Macaca mulatta: one gene and its partners. The protein of the gene in region 3 binds, or shares a complex with, the protein of the main gene of each other region. Links are inferred from orthologs where the notes say so. Each region holds a gene or a part of one and is shown on either strand. Other genes may lie near its edges. The genes, in order: NRIP1, NFKBIB, PPARG, CREBBP and MED1.

The links.
Region 1: the proteins of PPARG (region 3) and NRIP1 are in contact, whole or in part, in a crystal structure (PDB 9CWN), measured with the Homo sapiens proteins. The link is inferred for Macaca mulatta from reciprocal best matches to the Homo sapiens genes PPARG and NRIP1. Residues at the interface, in NP_056953.2 of Homo sapiens: Val321, Gln322, Thr325, Lys329, Phe334, Leu339, Gln342, Val343, Leu346, Lys347, Pro495, Leu496, Glu499, Ile500, Lys502; in NP_001426204.1 of Homo sapiens: Ser130, Thr131, Leu132, Leu133, Ala134, Leu136, Leu137, Ser139.
Region 2: the proteins of PPARG (region 3) and NFKBIB are in contact, whole or in part, in a crystal structure (PDB 9CK0), measured with the Homo sapiens proteins. The link is inferred for Macaca mulatta from reciprocal best matches to the Homo sapiens genes PPARG and NFKBIB. Residues at the interface, in NP_056953.2 of Homo sapiens: Gln322, Thr325, Lys329, Phe334, Leu339, Gln342, Val343, Leu346, Lys347, Leu496, Glu499, Ile500; in NP_002494.2 of Homo sapiens: Asn286, Pro287, Ile288, Leu289, Ala290, Leu292, Leu293, Arg294, Ala295.
Region 4: the proteins of PPARG (region 3) and CREBBP are in contact, whole or in part, in a crystal structure (PDB 7RLE), measured with the Homo sapiens proteins. The link is inferred for Macaca mulatta from reciprocal best matches to the Homo sapiens genes PPARG and CREBBP. Residues at the interface, in NP_056953.2 of Homo sapiens: Val321, Gln322, Thr325, Glu326, Lys329, Phe334, Val335, Leu339, Asn340, Gln342, Val343, Thr344, Leu346, Lys347, Leu496, Glu499, Ile500, Lys502; in NP_004371.2 of Homo sapiens: Asp62, Ala63, Ala64, Lys66, His67, Lys68, Gln69, Leu70, Ser71, Leu73, Leu74, Arg75.
Region 5: the proteins of PPARG (region 3) and MED1 are in contact, whole or in part, in a crystal structure (PDB 6ONJ), measured with the Homo sapiens proteins. The link is inferred for Macaca mulatta from reciprocal best matches to the Homo sapiens genes PPARG and MED1. Residues at the interface, in NP_056953.2 of Homo sapiens: Val321, Gln322, Thr325, Glu326, Lys329, Phe334, Leu339, Asn340, Asp341, Gln342, Val343, Thr344, Leu346, Lys347, Gly427, Leu429, His494, Pro495, Leu496, Glu499, Ile500, Lys502; in NP_004765.2 of Homo sapiens: Asn638, Thr639, Asn641, His642, Pro643, Met644, Leu645, Met646, Leu648, Leu649, Lys650, Asp651.

The regions. Positions count from the first base shown.
Region 1 is NC_133408.1:32,765,211-32,768,726, forward strand, and holds part of NRIP1 (nuclear receptor-interacting protein 1), read left to right. Parts: coding exon 1-3,337; 3' UTR 3,338-3,516. UniProt on the Homo sapiens protein: Modulates transcriptional activation by steroid receptors such as NR3C1, NR3C2 and ESR1. Also modulates transcriptional repression by nuclear hormone receptors.
Region 2 is NC_133424.1:49,994,390-49,998,500, reverse strand, and holds the start of NFKBIB (NF-kappa-B inhibitor beta), read right to left. Parts: upstream 2,811-4,111; 5' UTR 2,762-2,810; coding exon 2,583-2,761; intron 1-2,582. Other genes in the region: SIRT2 (NAD-dependent protein deacetylase sirtuin-2), read left to right, coding at 3,273-3,288. UniProt on the Homo sapiens protein: Inhibits NF-kappa-B by complexing with and trapping it in the cytoplasm.
Region 3 is NC_133407.1:151,165,090-151,169,290, forward strand, and holds the start of PPARG (peroxisome proliferator-activated receptor gamma), read left to right. Parts: upstream 1-1,401; 5' UTR 1,402-1,425; coding exon 1,426-1,507; intron 1,508-4,201. UniProt on the Homo sapiens protein: Nuclear receptor that binds peroxisome proliferators such as hypolipidemic drugs and fatty acids.
Region 4 is NC_133425.1:4,988,587-4,992,102, reverse strand, and holds part of CREBBP (CREB-binding protein), read left to right. Parts: intron 1-191; coding exon 192-381; intron 382-3,516. UniProt on the Homo sapiens protein: Acetylates histones, giving a specific tag for transcriptional activation. Mediates acetylation of histone H3 at 'Lys-18' and 'Lys-27' (H3K18ac and H3K27ac, respectively).
Region 5 is NC_133421.1:63,743,822-63,746,359, reverse strand, and holds part of MED1 (mediator of RNA polymerase II transcription subunit 1), read left to right. Parts: coding exon 1-2,538. UniProt on the Homo sapiens protein: Component of the Mediator complex, a coactivator involved in the regulated transcription of nearly all RNA polymerase II-dependent genes.

The DNA of each region.
Region 1 (3,516 bases), on a different chromosome or scaffold from region 3:
TAATGAAGAGGATCAGAACTTTAACATTTCTGGCAGTGCATTTCCCACCTGTCAAAGTAATGGTCCAGTTTTCAATACACATACATATCAGGGATCTGGCATGCTGCACCTCAAAAAAGCCAGACTGTTGCAGTCTTCTGAGGACTGGAATGCAGCAAAGCGGAAGAGGCTGTCTGATTCTATCGTAAATTTAAACGTAAAGAAGGAAGCTTTGCTAGCTGGCATGGTTGACAGTGTGCCTAAAGGCAAACAGGATAGCACATTACTGGCCTCTTTGCTTCAGTCATTCAGCTCTAGGCTGCAGACTGTTGCTCTGTCACAACAAATTAGGCAGAGCCTCAAGGAGCAAGGATATGCCCTCAGTCATGATTCTTTAAAAGTGGAGAAGGATTTAAGGTGCTATGGTGTTGCATCAAGTCACTTAAAAACTTTGTTGAAGAAAAGTAAAGTTAAAGATCAAAAGCCTGATACAAATCTTCCTGATGTGACTAAAAACCTCATCAGAGATAGGTTTGTAGAATCTCCTCATCACGTTGGACAAAGTGGAACAAAGGTCATGAGTGAACCGTTGTCATGTGCTGCAAGATTACAGGCTGTTGCAAGCATGGTAGAAAAAAGGGCTAGTCCTGCCACCTCACCTAAACCTAGTGTTGCTTGTAGCCAGTTAGCATTACTTCTGTCAAGCGAAGCCCATTTGCAGCAGTATTCTCGAGAACATGCTTTAAAAACACAAAATGCAAATCAAGCAGCAAGTGAAAGACTTGCTGCTATGGCCAGATTGCAAGAAAATGGCCAGAAGGATGTTGGCAGTTTCCAGCTCTCCAAAGCCATGTCAAGCCATCTTAATGGTCAGGCTAGAACATCATCAAGCAAACTGATGGCTAGCAAAAGTAGTGCTACAACGTTTCAAAATCCAATGGGTATCATTCCTTCTTCCCCTAAAAATGCAGGTTATAAGAACTCACTGGAAAGAAACAATATCAAACAAGCTGCTAACAATAGTTTGCTTTTACATCTTCTTAAAAGCCAGACTATACCTAAGCCAATGAATGGACACAGTCACAGTGAGAGAGGAAGCATTTTTGAGGAAAGTAGTACACCTACAACTATTGATGAATATTCAGATAACAATCCTAGTTTTACAGATGACAGCAGTGGTGATGAAAGTTCTTACTCCAGCTGTGTTCCCATAGACTTGTCTTGCAAACACCGAACTGAAAAATCCGAATCTGACCAGCCTGTTTCCCTGGATAACTTTACTCAATCCTTGCTAAACACTTGGGATCCAAAAGTCCCAGACGTAGATATCAAAGAAGATCAAGATACCTCAAAGAATTCTAAGCTAAACTCACACCAGAAAGTAACACTTCTTCAATTGCTACTTGGCCATAAGAATGAAGAAAATGTAGAAAAAAACACCAGCCCTCAGGGAGTACACAATGATGTGACCAAGTTCAGTACACAAAATTATGCAAGGACTTCTGTGATAGAAAGCCCCAGTACAAATCGGACTACGCCAGTGAGCACTCCACCATTACTTACGTCAGCCAAAGCAGAGTCTCCCATCAATCTCTCTCAACACTCTCTGGTCATCAAATGGAATTCCCCACCGTATGCCTGCAGTACTCAGTCTGAAAAGACTGCATCTAACCACTCAATGGACCTTACAAAAAGCAAAGACACGCCAGGAGAGAAACCAGCCCAAAACGAAGGTGCACAAAACTCTGCAACTTTCAGTGCCAGTAAGCTGTTACAAAATTTAGCACAATGTGGCCTGCAGTCTTCCATGTCAGTGGAAGAGCAGAGACCCAGCAAACAGCTGTTAACTGTAAACACAGATAAACCGATAGGTGTGATTGATAGATTAAATAGCCCTTTGCTCTCAAATAAAACGAATGCAGCTGAAGAAAGTCAAGCATTTAGTAGTCAACCAACAGGTCCTGAACCGGGGCTTTCCGGTTCTGAAATAGAAAATCTGCTTGAAAGACGTACCGTCCTCCAGTTGCTCCTGGGAAACCCCAACAAAGGCAAAAATGAAAAGAAAGAGAAAACTCCCTTAAGAGATGAAAGTACTCAGGAACACTCAGAGAGAGCTTTAAGTGAACAAATATTGATGGTGAAAATAAAATCTGAGCCTTGTGATGACTTACAAATTCCTAATACAAATGTGCACTTGAGCCATGATGCCAAGAGTGCTCCATTCTTGGGTATGGCTCCTGCTGTGCAGAGAAGCGCACCTGCCTTACCAGTGTCCGAAGACTTTAAATCGGAGCCTGTTTCACCTCAGGATTTTTCTTTCTCAAAGAATGGTCTCTTAAGTCGATTGCTAAGACAAAATCCAGATAGTTACCTGGCAGATGATTCAGACAAGAGTCACAGAAGTAATGAAATGGCACTTCTAGAATCAAAGAATCTGTGCATGGTCCCTAAGAAAAGGAAGCTTTATACTGAGCCATTAGAAAATCCATTTAAAAAGATGAAAAACAACGTTGTCGATGCTGCGAACAATCACAGTGCCCCAGAAGTACTGTATGGGTCCTTGCTTAACCAGGAAGAGCTGAAATTTAGCAGAAATGATCTTGAGTTTAAATATCCTGCTGGTCATGGCTCAGCCAGCGAAAGTGAACACAGGAGTTGGGCCAGAGAGAGCAAAAGCTTCAATGTTCTGAAACAGCTGCTTCTCTCAGAAAACTGTGTGCGAGATTTGTCCCCGCACAGAAGTAACTCTGTTGCTGACAGTAAAAAGAAAGGACACAAAAATAATGTGACCAACAGCAAACCTGAATTTAGCATTTCTTCTTTAAATGGACTGATGTACAGCCCCACTCAGCCCAGCAGTTGCATGGATAACAGGACATTTTCATACCCAGGAGTAGTAAAAACTCCTGTGAGTCCTACTTTCCCTGAGCACTTGGGCTGTGCAGGGTCTAGACCAGAATCTGGGCTTTTGAATGGGTGTTCCATGCCCAGTGAGAAAGGACCCATTAAGTGGGTTATCACTGATGTGGAGAAGAATGAATACGAAAAAGACTCTCCGAGACTGACCAAAACCAACCCCATACTGTATTATATGCTGCAGAAAGGAGGCAATTCTGTTACCAGTCGAGAAACACAAGACAAGGACATTTGGAGGGAGCCTTCATCTGCTGAAAGTGTCTCACAGGTCACAATCAAAGAAGAGTTACTTCCTACTGCAGAAACGAGAGCTGCTTTCTTTAACTTAAGAAGCCCTTACAATAGCCATATGGGAAATAATGCTTCTCGCCCACACAGTGCAAACGGAGAAGTTTATGGACTTCTGGGAAACGTGCTAACAATAAAAAAAGAATCAGAATAAAATGTACCTGCCATCCAGTTTGGGATCTTTTTAAAACATAATGAGTATGAACTTGAGATCTGTATAAATAAGAGCATGATTTGAGAAAAGCATGGTATAATTGAAACTTTTTTCATTTTGAAAAGTATTGGTTACTGGTGATGTTTAAATATGCATACTAATTTTTGCTTAACATTAGA
Region 2 (4,111 bases), on a different chromosome or scaffold from region 3:
AAATACAAATATTTTTAGGCCGGGTGTGGTGGCTCACACCTGTAATCCCACCACGTTGGGAGGCCGAGGTGGGTGGATCACTTTAAGTCAGGAGTTCCAGACCAGCCTGGCCAACATGGTGAAATCCCATCTCTGCTAAAAGCACAAAAATTAGCCGGATGTGGTGGTGCATGCCTGTAATCCCTGCTACGCGGAAGGCTGAAACATGAGAATTGCTTGAACCTGGGAGGCAGAGGTTGCAGCAAGCTGAGATCATTCCACTGTACTACAGCTTTGGTGACAGAGCAAGACTCCAGTCTCAAAAAAAAAAGAAAAAGAAAAAAAATACTGAATTAGGCCGGGTGTGGTGGCTCATGCCTGTAATCCCAGCACTTTGGGAGGCCAAGGTGGGCAGATCATTTGAGGTAAGGAGTTTGAGACCAGCCTGGCCAACATGGTGAAACCCTGTCTCTACCAAAAAAATTACAAAACTTATCCGGGGGTGGTGGCACCCCCCTGTAATCCCAACTACTCGGGAGGCTGAGGCAAGAGAATCACTTGAACCCAGGAGGACAAGGTTGCAGTGAACGGAAACTGTGCCACTGCACTCCAGCCTGGGGAACAGAGTGGACTCCAACTCAAAAAAATAATAAAGCATACTGAATTAAATGAAAATAAAAACACAACATACCAGAATTTGAGAGATATTGCTAAAACAATATTGCTAAACAATAGTCAGGAGCAAATTTATAGCACTCAATACCTATACTGGAAAAGAGGAAAAAAGAAAGGTCTCAAATCAATGATCTCAACTTTCACCTTAAGAAACTACAAAAAGAAGAACAAATTAAAGCCAAAGTAAGCAGAAGAATGAACATAATAAAAGTCAGAACAGCCTGGCATGGTGGCTCATGCCTGCAATCCCAGCACTTTGGGAGGCTGAGGCAGGCAGATCACGGGGTCAGGAGTTTGAGACCAGCCTGGCCAACATGGTGAAACCCCATCTCTACTAAAAACACAAAAATTAGCCAGGCATGGTGGTGGGCACCTGTAATCCCAGCTACTGGGGAGGTTGAGGCAGGAGAATTGCTTGAACCCAGGAGATGGAGGTTGCAGTGAGTCAACATGGTGCCACTGCACTCCAGCCTGGGCGACAGAGTGAAACTCCATTTCAAAAAACAAAACAAAACAAAACAAAAAAACCGGCCGGGCGCGGTGGCTCAAGCCTGTAATCCCAGCACTTTGGGAGGCCGAGATGGCGGATCACGAGGTCAGGAGATCGAAACCATCCTGGCTAACACAGTGAAACCCTGTCTCTACTAAAAAAAAAAAAAACTAGCCAGGCGAGGTGGCGGGCACCTGTAGTCCCAGCTACTCGGGAGGCTGAGGCAGGAGAATGGCTTAAACCCGGCAGGCGGAGCTTGCAGTGAGCTGAGATCCGGCCACTGCACTCCAGCCTGGGCGACAGAGCGAGACTCTGTCTCAAAAAAAAAGCCAGGACAGAGACTAATTATATAAAAAGTAAAAAAAAAAAAAAAAAAAAAAGAAACCAAAATTAAGTAATGAAATGTAATGAAAATTAACAAGATTATAAAGCTGGTTCTTTGAAAAGATAAATATTTCTTCAGTGCCTCCTGGGTCAGGCACTGCTTGCATCACTGGGCATACAGCAGAAAACACAACAGACAAAAAACCCAGTACAGTCCCTCATCTGGGCTTTGCAACTGCAGTTCCTTCTCCCTGAAATGCTCTTATCCTGTTTATCTATTGCCTCATTTTCCTGCTTTATTTTTCTCCAAAGTACTTACTACCTCTGACTTTATTTCCTTCTCTTACTTTCTATGTTTCTTTCTTTCTGCGTGTCTTTCTTTGTTTCTTCCTGTCTTTCTGTTTCTTTCCTTCCTTGCGGTCTTATCTGTTTATTTAGTTCCACTAAAATGTATGCTCCACAAGCGCTTAAGTTTTTGTCTGTTTTCTCCACTGCCTTTATCACTAGCACCTAAAACGGAGCCTGGAATGTTGTACTGTGTAAAGAATATTTGTTTAACAGATGGATCCTTGGTCTCGTGGAGCTTACATTCTTTTTTTCTATTTTCCTTTTTTTTTTTTTTTTACTTTAATTAGGAATTCAACATAGAAGAGCTTACATTCTCTCTCTTTGAATTTAAGATTTGAAGAACACTGCTCAGATGACAGGATCTTAGAGTAAGGGACCAAGCATTAATTTTGGAAATCAAACTTTAAGGCTCAAATCAGGAACTAAGAATCAAAGATCATATTTGGAGGTTAGAAGTCAGGAGAAGCCACAGTTCTAACAAAAGTCTCAGGACTGGAGTCAGGTTTGGGTATCAGTGGATACAACGTGGATTCCAGGAGCTGAGAATCATAGTTCAGGAAAAGGTCAGAAATGATTGGGTGAGGATCATAGCTGGAAAGAAGATTGGTTTTGTTAAAAGTTAGGACTCGGGGGTTAGAGGTCAGGAAGTTCAGCATCGGAAGTCAGATTTAGGAGTGTGAGGTTAGGAAGCCTCAGGGATCAGACACTAATGGGGAATCAGATGCCGGGTCCTAAGGCTCCGTTTGGCAGCCTAAAGTTCACTCACGTGTCCCCATCCTCAGTGACGTAGCCGAAGACGAGGGGAGCCCACGACAGCCCCGGGCCCAGCTCCGCGCCCAATCCCGGTCCTCCGGGGGCCGCTGCGTCCGGACCCAGGGAGCCGAGGCCGCTGTCGCACCATTCATCTGCGTCGGCAGCTTTTCCCAAGCACGCGACCCCAGCCATGGCCCCCGCCACCTCAGGGGCCCCTCGCAGTGGCCCGCCTGTAGCTGGGCTTTGCCGGGAGTTCTGGCGCTTCCGCCCTGCGGGAAATTCCCCACCACGCCCCCTGATTCATCCAATGATAATATGCTGAATCGCTCACACCCCGCCCCCGTGCCGCATGCTGACCAATCAGAGTATTCGAGAGGACTACGACTCTCTAGCCGTTCCCACATTTTCCGGGCGCCCTTTACCAACATGGCTGCTGACGCCATGACTTCTGGGACTCGTAGTCCGGTCCTCGCGCGCTTTCTTACCTAACTGGGGCGCTCCGGGTGTCGTAGGAAAGCGCGTCTGCGGCCGCAATGTCTGCTGGGAGTTGTAGTTCAGTGCCCTATCCCGGCCACTCCCATTTCTGGTGCCGTCACGGGACAGAGCAGTCGGTGACAGGACAGAGCCGTCGGTGACGGGACACAGTGGTCGGTGACGGGACAGAGCGGTCGGTGACAGCCTCGAGGGCTTCAGCACCGCGCCCATGGCAGAGCCGGACCGTGAGTCGGGAATCCGGGTGGGAGGGTCGGGCCGCGCCGGGGCCTGATTGAAGGCTGCAGGCCCCGGGGCCCAAGGGCGGCCGCAGTGGGGCGGGAAGTAGGGAGCGCCTCGGGGAGTGGGGTTCTGAGGGTTGTTGCTAAGCGATCTATATCGCCAGGCTGGTGGGTTTCTGGGTCGCAGGGTGTTCAGGGTTCGTTTACCACATCCACTTGCCAAGTTGCCAATGATCGCGTGTTTCTCACACCTTGGTTGCTAAGGACCCTCGCTGCAAAGAACATAAGTTGCCCCGGTCCCGGCTGCTAAGGGTACCTGATTGTTAGAGGCAACCAGAGGATGCTGAGGGACCCCTGCTGTCCCCTTCTATGGCTTCCCCTTGTTCCGCGCCTCTCCTAAACCTACCGCCTCCACTGCACCACTGCACCTCCCTCCTAAACCTGCCTCCCAGCCAAAGCGTCCCTTCCCTTCTCTCTTCCTTTCTAAACTTCCCTCTGCCTTGTAAATCTAACCCTTCCCGCACACACACTGACACACTGTCGTGTCCTTCCTAACTCCTCCTGAGTGTTCCTTCATGCCCTGAATCCCTTAGGTAGGAGGAGGAGGATCGCTTGAGCCCAGGAGTTTGAGGCTGCAGTGAGCTATGATCGCACCATTGCACTCCAGCCTGGGTGACATGAGCGAGACCCTTTCTCTAAAAAGTAAAAAAGAAAGAAAGTAAGTCAGGGCCAGACACAATGGCTCATGCTTGTAACCCCAGTACTTTGAGAGGCCAAGGTGGTTGGATCGCTTGAGCCCAGGAGTTCAAGATCAGCCTGGGCAAAAGCC
Region 3 (4,201 bases):
GACTAATTTTACACAACCGTAATCACTGCAGTCATTTGGACAAATTAGCAAACCCAAGTTTTGCTTTAACTTGGATTGCTTTAATAAAGATGTTTTGGGGCTTAATGGCACAGTTGCCCAACTCCCCACTTTATTCTGTGCTGTTCAGAGCCAGCCAGCATTTCCCCATCAAGCTCTTGCACCATGATTGACAGGGACACTTTTACTAGTCCCCTTGAAGAATGAATAGTTACTCAATGTAGATTAACCAGATATATATTTATTTTACTCAGGGAATATCAGGATAAATATAATTCAGAGAATTAATTGCCTTCTCATATACTGCCCTGTGTGGGGACATCTTTGAAAGTCCGCAAAGTCACTGTGATTCTAGTAGGCCACTCATGTGACAAGACCTGCTCCCACATCAGTAATTTGGCACAGCTAGTGTCTCTCCTTGCCAAAAAGGGCAAAGGCCTTGAGCAAGAAGCCAGCTTTTTCCTGATTACAAAACCGACCACAATTCCTCGCCAACCTAACAGCGTAAGTCTATTTTTTTCTGGTGATGTGTTACTCTTCTCACAGAGAACTCCATTTTTTCATTATGACATAGCACTTATCATTTAAACATCAATTGATGTTCAAACATCAGCTGATGTAACATTGCTGTAGTTGCTATTGATGGATAAGCTGAAGTTTTTAAGAAAGCAAACCCGATATTTAAATCGAAACCATATCAAACCCTTCTTCATTCTCTGAACTATTTAATTTTACAGAATTTGGATAGCAGTCAATATCATTTTGGGCTTCACAAATCAGCAGAACAAGTACCTTAGGAATATAACATTTCGGTAGCATGCTAATACCAACGTTTAAACTATGGATATGTATTTGAATTCCAAAATTTTCTTCAAATCACATGATTAGAGATTCAACCAGGAATAGACATTGAAAGAAAACTTTGCCCAAATAAGCTTTCTGGTATTTCATAAGCAAGAGATTTGAAGTTTTCCATTTAAGAAGGAATTGATGTGAATTTTACGACAGTTAAAAATGCAAGTGGATATTGAACAGTCTCTGCTCTGATAATTCTAAATACAGTATAGTTCACGCCCCTCACAAGACACTGAACATGTGGGTCACTGGCGAGACAGTGTGGCAATATTTTCCCTGTAATGTACCAAGTCTTGCCAAAGCAGTGAACAACATTATGACACAACTTTTTGTCACAGCTGGCTCCTAACAGGACAGTGCCAGCCAATTCAAGCCCAGTCCTTTCTGTGTTTATTCCCATCTCTCCCAAATATTTGGAAACTGATGTCTTGACTCATGGGTGTATTCACAAATTCTGTTACTTCAAGTCTTTTTCTTTTAACGGATTGATCTTTTGCTAGATATAAACAAAATATCAGTGTGAATTACAGCAAACCCCTATTCCATGCTGTTATGGGTGAAACTCTGGGAGATTCTCCTATTGACCCAGAAAGCGATTCCTTCACTGATACACTGTCTGCAAACATATCACAAGGTAAAGTTCCTTCCAGATATGGCTATTGGGGACGTGGGGGCATTTATGTAAGGGTAAAATTGCTCTTGTAGTTTGTCTTCCAAGTTATGTTTGTTTTAATACTATCATGTGTACACTCCAGTATTTTAATGCTTAGCTCGCTGCTATCGCATTCACTTAAAAACATATTCAGATCCTTAAAAAAGGAAACCTAACCTAATCTGTATTTTATCTCTGTGCATGGCTCCCATTTCCTGAATTTTAAGCACTAACGGTATAGTTATATCCAAAAACAATCCTGTTCATTTTTATTTCCTGAGTTTGCATAGATTTCCCAAGAATACATAAAGGCTTTTTAGACTTGAAGGGTCACTTTTTCCTCTTTTCATCTTGTATGTTAGAGATCTCTCATAATGGTTTTTTTCCCTCTTGCAGCGCTTTTGTTCCTCTTGAAGTACTCTCAGTTCTTTTCTGTTCTACTTTGAAATCTAGATACTGTGTGGGCACTTTAGCTCTCCCAAAGAATTGTAATTTACCAGAGTATGGGACCAAGTGATGCTCTTTATTAGATTTCTGAGGATGCCTCCTAGCATAGTGCCCAATACATTGCAGAATGGATTGTCGGAACCTTGAAAAAGATCTGTTCCAAGCATCATATTTTATGCATAAAGAAAATGAGGTTCCTCAAACAGTAAATGCCTATTGTAAGTGACTACCTATTACTTCTCTTCAGATGTGTCAGAATCAGATACCTCCTTTTCAATATTTCTTTCTTGGCCATTGCAAAATGTAATTTCTCCATTTCTACAGCTCCTTCTACTGGAGTTTCTTAGCACCGCTTTTTCTGTTTTGTTTTGTCTCATATTGATGTCTTTATTTCTATTCATTTTATTTTTCTCTTCTCAGATGCTATGTAAAAATAGATTGTTAACTAGTGTGATTCATGTTTTATAATATAGGTGCTAAAGCATTAAAATTAAGTCACTTAATTGCTGAAATAGATTTTAACCTTTTCGTTTTCCTGGAAGCCTGAAGTTTGAACATATTAGTCATCATTTTAAAAATATAAAGCTTTTTAAAAATTAGTAAGAAATGTTTCCTGAAATACTGTTTTATTTTATTACAGTAATTTGTTTCAACATGTATTTCTATCATCTAAGCCTCTTAACTAGGAGTTTTGTTTTTTTCCTTAAAGTGCTGTTATTCTGTTTTTCTGCAAGCCAAAAACATTGTTGCTATCTTTCTTCAGTTATTAATTTACCCTGCCTCAGGGCAGAATGTCCTGGCTATACTGTGAAATAGTTCTTGAGTCAAAATTTGATAGTTTTGTCTATTTTCAAAGAACATGTCTAGAATGCAGTACAACAAATATCAACAAAATAGGTTAACTGAGAGGCAAGTACTATTTGTGGTAAGGGATGGTTATGTGATTCAAGTTAGTTTTCATTCTGTGCTAATCTCTAACTTTATGCTTTGAATTTACCCTGAGTTTAATTTTTTTGAGTCTCAATTTCCTCTAAAAGAATGATCCAGTACTTTTCTTCCTAATTAACATGGTACAGAATGAAATTATTAGCAATTAAAACATGATATTTTGTACCAATAATTTAACCCTTTTCTTACAGGGTCTCTGGCTACTCCTTCTTCATAAGCACTGTTTCTCTGTTAAAAATGTGAGTTCCTAAAGGCCAAAGACCTATGATTGTTACTCCTACTGTAATTTGTAAATGACCTTTAAATAATTGCTCCACCTCTTCCAAAACAGACAGACTTACAAATAAATTAGATATATGATCATTATTAGCCGAGGCTAGCAGTGTTGAACACTGGGGAGATGAGGTATTTGGCCTGGGTACAGTAGTCCTCTTACGTGCTTCTTCCTGATCATAGGCAAAGTGAAATTGGGAGTGTTGCAAATAGTTGGGTACTGCTATTAAGAAAAAGTGGCACATTTCGTGTGAATGACCCAGATATCCAGGTATATTGGTTATATTCAAGAGATTAGGCCAGGCGCGGTGGCTCAAACCTGTAATCCCAGCACTTTGGGAGGCCGAGACGGGCAGATCACGAGGTCAGGAGATCGAGACCATCCTGGCTAACATGGTGAAACCCCGTCTCTACTAAAAAATACAAAAAACTAGCCGGGCGAGGTGGCGGGCGCCTGTAGTCCCAGCTACTCGGGAGGCTGAGGCAGGAGAATGGCGTAAACCCGGGAGGCGGAGCTTGCAGTGAGCCGAGATCCGGCCACTGCACTCCAGCCTGGGCGACAGAGCGAGACTCCGTCTCAAAAAAAAAAAAAAAAGAGAGATTAAAAATATCCACTACACTTTATGCCCAAAGAGGACTTCCATGCTTTTTCCAAGGCTCCATCGTTGCTGTAACCCCTTTATATTGCTCCCCTTTCTTTTTTTTATCAAGAGCTCCTCAAGCAACCCCAAGTAACCTCATGCTGGCTCTGAAACCATTTCCACCAGTAAAAATTGGCGAGATTGAAGGGAAGCTTCCACAAGCTCAAGCTGAATATGCCTCCTGCTTTGAGTGCCAGACTTAGTCCTGTGTGAATTCTACAATTTTAAGTTGTTGCACCAGAGCCTTGAAAGATGATGACACACTTGTCCTTTGGAGCTGATTGAGCAATGGAAATATGCCTTAGAGACATGATAAATGCTGCAATAGACAATCCGTCAAAATGAGTCTCTCCTGAGATAGGAGTGA
Region 4 (3,516 bases), on a different chromosome or scaffold from region 3:
GTATTGAAGTGACTTAATGAACACCAAGTACTTTATTTCTTCTTCTGAAAGAGAAGAGGAATCACAAATGCAACTCTGACTAGAGGAAGGTTTTAACAAACCCATCTTAGGCTTGTAAGAGCCTTCCAGTGAGGCTGAGGTAACATAAAGGTGTTTAATATTTGTGTGTTATCTATAATGTTTTTCTCAAGATGATGGAGGAGGATTTGCAAGGAGCTTCCCAAGTTAAAGAAGAAACAGACACAGCAGAGCAGAAATCAGAACCAATGGAAGTGGATGAAAAGAAACCTGAAGTGAAAGTAGAAGTTAAAGAGGAAGAAGAGAGTAGCACTAACGGCACAGCCTCTCAGTCAACATCTCCTTCGCAGCCACGCAAAAAAAGTAGGCTGTTTATTCATTACCTTATTAAACCATGCTGCTTTTCCACGGTGTTGGGATTCCACGTGGAGGATTAGAAGCTAAAGTAGAAACGTAATTCTATCTGCCCTTTTACCTTTCTTGCCTGCCATTCCACAGACTTTCCCTTGCAGAAACACTGAGGCTGAGCAGGACCCCAGCCCTGTGCCTGTGGGGCTCATGGTAGGAGTGAGAGATGAGCTATGACTCTGAGGCCACCCTGGCTGCAGAGCTGTCTTCTGAGATGATGCTGGCAGGGGCCAGGGTTGAAATGTGTCTGGGTCCTTGAGCAGGCTAAGGAGCTTGGCTTTACTCATAAAAGTGTAAAGAACCAGTGATGTATGTGAGTGGGAAAATAACCAAAAAAGCCATAATTTAAGGAAAATGATCATTATGACAGCACAGGGGTGAGCTGGAGGCAGTTTTCTGCTGGTGCAGTGAGGAAGCTGAGCATGCAGAGTGAGGGGCAGGGTGGTGCCTAGGGACCCCATGTAGGGAGACATGGGGAGGGGTAGGTTAGGCAGCTTTGGGGTCTGAGATGTGTGGGATAAGCCCGCCTCACAGTGGAAGTTGGATGGAATCCATTTGAGATGTATCCAAAGTAAAGAGATAACAGGGTATCAGAAAATTGTCAAGTGAACCTTAGAAATGGGAGTTGGGACTCAGAAAGTCCAAGGCTGCAGATGACACTTTTGGGAAAGATTGCAGAGAAATGTTAGAGACTGAGACCATGTTACTCTGCAGCTGGAAGGGGACCCTCGAGAGTGTGGAGTACAGTGAATCTTAGGGCTTTTTATGCTCTTAGAAATTGAGGGCCCCAGAGAGTTGTTGTTTGTGTGGATTACCTATCATTGCTTACTCTATTGGAAATTAAAATTGAGAAATTTGAGTACAGGGCTCACACCTGTAATCCCAGCACTTTGGGAGGCCTTGATGAGAGGTTTGCTTATGCCGGGATTTCAAAACCAGCCTGAGCAACATAGCAAGACTCCATCTCTACAAAACTAAAATAAAATTAGCTAAGTGTGGTGGTGCACGCTACAGCGGAAGCAGCAGGATCGCCTGAGCCTATAAGTTTGAGGCTACAGTGAGCCCAGATCACATCACTGCACTCTAGCCTAGGAGACAAAGTAAGATTGTTGTCTCAAAAAAAAGAGAAAAATTTTTAAATATTTAGTTCATTTAAAATAGTCTGTTGGCCGGGCGCGGTGGCTCAAGCCTGTAATCCCAGCACTTTGGGAGGCCGAGACGGGCGGATCACGAGTTCAGGAGATCGAGACCATCCTGGCTAACACGGTGAAACCCCGTCTCTACTAAAATACAAAAAAAAAAAAAATTAGCCGGGCGAGGTGGCGGGCGCCTGTACTCCCAGCTACTCGGGAGGCTGAGGCAGGAGAATGGCGTGAACCCGGGAGGCGGGGCTTGCAGTGAGCTGAGATCCGGCCACTGCACTCCAGCCTGGGCAACAGAGCTAGACTCCGTCTCAAAAAAAATAAATAAATAAAATAAAATAAAATAGTCTGTTACATGGCACCCATAGAAAACATTTATATGAAAAATAATTTTTCCAAAACAAAAATAAGAATAATGATGTTATTAAGGGCATCTGCCTCTGCATTTACTGTGTTGTGATTGGTTATTTTGGTTGAAGTGTGTGAAGAAAATCCTGTAGTTGGTAAAGGGAGAAGTATTTTCATAGCCTTTTCAGCTGATTGTGGTTAGTCTTTGATACTATACCAAAATTAAACCAGTGAAAGTTTCTTAAAGGTTAGTTACGACATTGAACCAGAATCTGTAGCACTGGATATTTCATACTCTATGACATTAGAATCCATTGATCCATCTTGTACTTGGAATGGATGGTTTGTGCTTGCATTATTTTTTTTTCAATTGACACTAAGTTCTGCAGATTTTCCATATGTTAACATATTTCACTATACCGTGTCAAAAAAAAATCACATTTGTTAATACCACCATCAGTCTCTTCAAACAAGTCTTAACAACTTTGAAAAGCAGGGCGTGCGTGGTGGCTCACGCCTGTAATCTCAGCATTTTGGGAGGCTGAGGGGGAAAGTTTGCTTGAGCCCAGGAATTCAGGGTCTATGATTGTACCACTGCACTCTAGCCTAGAGCTCAGGAGTTCAAGACCAGCCTAGGCAACATGGCGAAACCTAATCTCTATTAAAAAAAAAAAAAAAAAAAGCTGGGCATGGGTAGTGCATGCCTGTAGCTGCAGCTACTCAAGATGTTGAAGTGGGAGAATCACCTGAGCCTGGGAGGTCAAGGATGCAGTGAGCCATGATCATGCCGCTGTACTCCAGCCTGGGTGACAGAGTGAGGCCCTGTCTCAAAAAGTAATAGTAATAATAAATTTTGAGACGATTTCAAGCCCGTGTACAAGTTTTCCAAAACATTTGATTTTTTAATGAAAGTCCAGATTTTATCATTGGCAACAAATATTGTCAGTTGTCCTTGAAGTAACTGTCCCTCTTTGTTCATTTCTGAGAAAATGTCTGACATATAACTAGAGTTAGTAACTATAGCTTATCTCTCAGTCATTCTTGAAAGTTTTAAGGGGTCCATGAGGGCAAGCAGCTACTTCAGCTGTAAATTCTGACACGTGCACAAGTACTGCCTCCTAATGTGGCCACTGTGCATATGCAGCACACATCTTTTATTCTGTGTGATGAGATACACTGAATATTTCATCACACAGACTAAAAGACATGTACCAGGAGGCCAGGCGCAGTGGCTCAAGCCTGTAATCCCAGCATTTTGGGAGGCCGAGGCGGGCAGATCACGAGGTCAGGAGATCAAGACCATCCTGGCTAACACGGTAAAACCCCGTCTCTACTAAACAAAATATAAAAAATTAGCCAGGCATGGTGGCGGGCACTTGTAGTCCCAGCTACTCGGGAGACTGAAGCAGGAGAATGGCATGAACCCGGGAGGCAGAGCTTGCGGTGAGCCGAGATCGCGCCACTGCAGTCCAGCCTGGGCGACAGAGTGAGACTCCGTCTCAAAAAAAAAAAAAAAAAGATGTACCAAAGGCTGAGCTTTAATACAAGGAATACTTCTTACCACCTCGTCAAGAATATTTTTTCGGCCAGGTGTGGTAGC
Region 5 (2,538 bases), on a different chromosome or scaffold from region 3:
ACACCACACATCACTCCAGCTCCAAGCCAGTGTAGCACTCCCCCAACAACTTACCCACAACCAGTACCTCACCCCCAACCCAGTATTCAAAGGATGGTCCGACTATCCAGTTCAGACAGCATTGGCCCAGATGTAACTGACATCCTTTCAGACATTGCAGAAGAAGCTTCTAAACTTCCCAGCACTAGTGATGATTGCCCAGCTATTGGCACCCCTCTTCGAGATTCTTCAAGCTCTGGGCATTCTCAGAGTACCCTCTTTGACTCTGATGTCTTTCAAACTAACAATAATGAAAATCCATACACTGATCCAGCTGATCTTATTGCAGATGCTGCTGGAAGCCCCAGTAGTGACTCTCCTACCAATCATTTTTTTCATGATGGAGTAGATTTCAATCCTGATTTATTGAACAGCCAGAGCCAAAGTGGTTTTGGAGAAGAATATTTTGATGAAAGCAGCCAAAGTGGGGATAATGATGATTTCAAAGGATTTGCATCTCAGGCACTAAATACTTTGGGGGTGCCAATGCTTGGAGGTGATAATGGGGAGACCAAGTTTAAGGCCAATAACCAAGCTGACACAGTTGATTTCAGTATTATATCAGTAGCCGGCAAAGCTTTAGGTCCTGCAGATCTTATGGAGCATCACAGTGGTAGTCAGGGACCTTTAATGACCACTGGGGACTTAGGGAAAGAAAAGACTCAAAAGAGGGTAAAGGAAGGCAATGGCACCAGTAATAGTACTCTCGCGGGGCCAGGATTAGACAGCAAACCAGGGAAACGCAGTCGGACCCCTTCTAATGATGGGAAAAGCAAAGATAAGCCTCCAAAGAGGAAGAAAGCAGACACTGAGGGAAAGTCTCCATCTCATAGTTCTTCTAACCGACCTTTTACCCCACCTACCAGTACAGGTGGATCTAAATCTCCAGGCAGTTCAGGAAGATCTCAGACTCCCCCAGGTGTTGCCACACCACCCATTCCCAAAATCACTATTCAGATTCCTAAGGGAACAGTGATGGTGGGCAAGCCTTCCTCTCACAGTCAGTATACCAGCAGTGGTTCTGTGTCTTCCTCAGGCAGCAAAAGCCACCATAGCCATTCTTCCTCTTCTTCCTCATCTTCTGCTTCCACCTCAGGGAAGATGAAAAGCAGTAAATCAGAAGGCTCATCAAGTTCCAAGTTAAGCAGCAGTATGTATGCTAGCCAGGGGTCTTCTGGATCTAGCCAGTCCAAAAATTCATCCCAGTCTGGGGGGAAGCCAGGCTCCTCTCCCATTACCAAGCATGGACTGAGCAGTGGCTCTAGCAGCACCAAGATGAAACCTCAAGGAAAGCCATCATCACTTATGAATCCTTCTTTAAGTAAACCAAACATATCCCCTTCTCATTCAAGGCCACCTGGAGGCTCTGACAAGCTTGCCTCTCCAATGAAGCCTGTTCCTGGAACTCCTCCATCCTCTAAAGCCAAGTCCCCTATCAGTTCAGGTTCTGGTGGTTCTCATATGTCTGGAACTAGTTCAAGCTCTGGCATGAAGTCATCTTCAGGGTTAGGATCCTCAGGCTCGTTGTCCCAGAAAACTCCCCCATCATCTAATTCTTGTACAGCATCTTCCTCCTCCTTTTCCTCAAGTGGCTCTTCCATGTCATCCTCTCAAAACCAGCATGGGAGTTCCAAAGGAAAATCTCCCAGCAGAAATAAGAAGCCGTCCTTGACAGCTGTCATAGATAAACTGAAGCATGGGGTTGTCACCAGTGGCCCTGGGGGTGAAGACCCACTGGACGGCCAGATGGGGGTGAGCACAAATTCTTCCAGCCATCCTATGTCCTCTAAACATAACATGTCAGGAGGAGAGTTTCAGGGCAAGCGTGAGAAAAGTGATAAAGACAAATCAAAGGTTTCCACCTCTGGGAGTTCAGTGGATTCTTCTAAGAAGACCTCAGAGTCAAAAAATGTGGGGAGCACAGGTGTGGCAAAAATTATCATCAGTAAGCATGATGGAGGCTCCCCCAGCATTAAAGCCAAAGTGACTTTGCAGAAACCTGGGGAAAGTAGTGGAGAAGGGCTTAGGCCTCAGATGGCTTCTTCTAAAAACTATGGCTCTCCACTCATCAGTGGTTCCACTCCAAAGCATGAGCGTGGCTCTCCTAGCCATAGTAAGTCACCAGCATATACCCCCCAGAATCTGGACAGTGAAAGTGAGTCAGGCTCCTCCATAGCAGAGAAATCTTATCAGAATAGTCCCAGCTCAGATGATGGTATCCGACCACTTCCTGAATACAGCACAGAGAAACATAAGAAGCACAAAAAGGAAAAGAAGAAAGTAAAAGACAAAGATAGGGACCGAGACCGGGACAAAGACCGAGACAAGAAAAAATCTCATAGCATCAAGCCAGAGAGTTGGTCCAAATCACCCATCTCTTCAGACCAGTCCTTGTCTATGACAAGTAACACAATCTTATCTGCAGATAGACCCTCAAGGCTCAGCCCAGACTTTATGATTGGGGAGGAAGATGATGATCTTATGGATGTGGCCCTGATT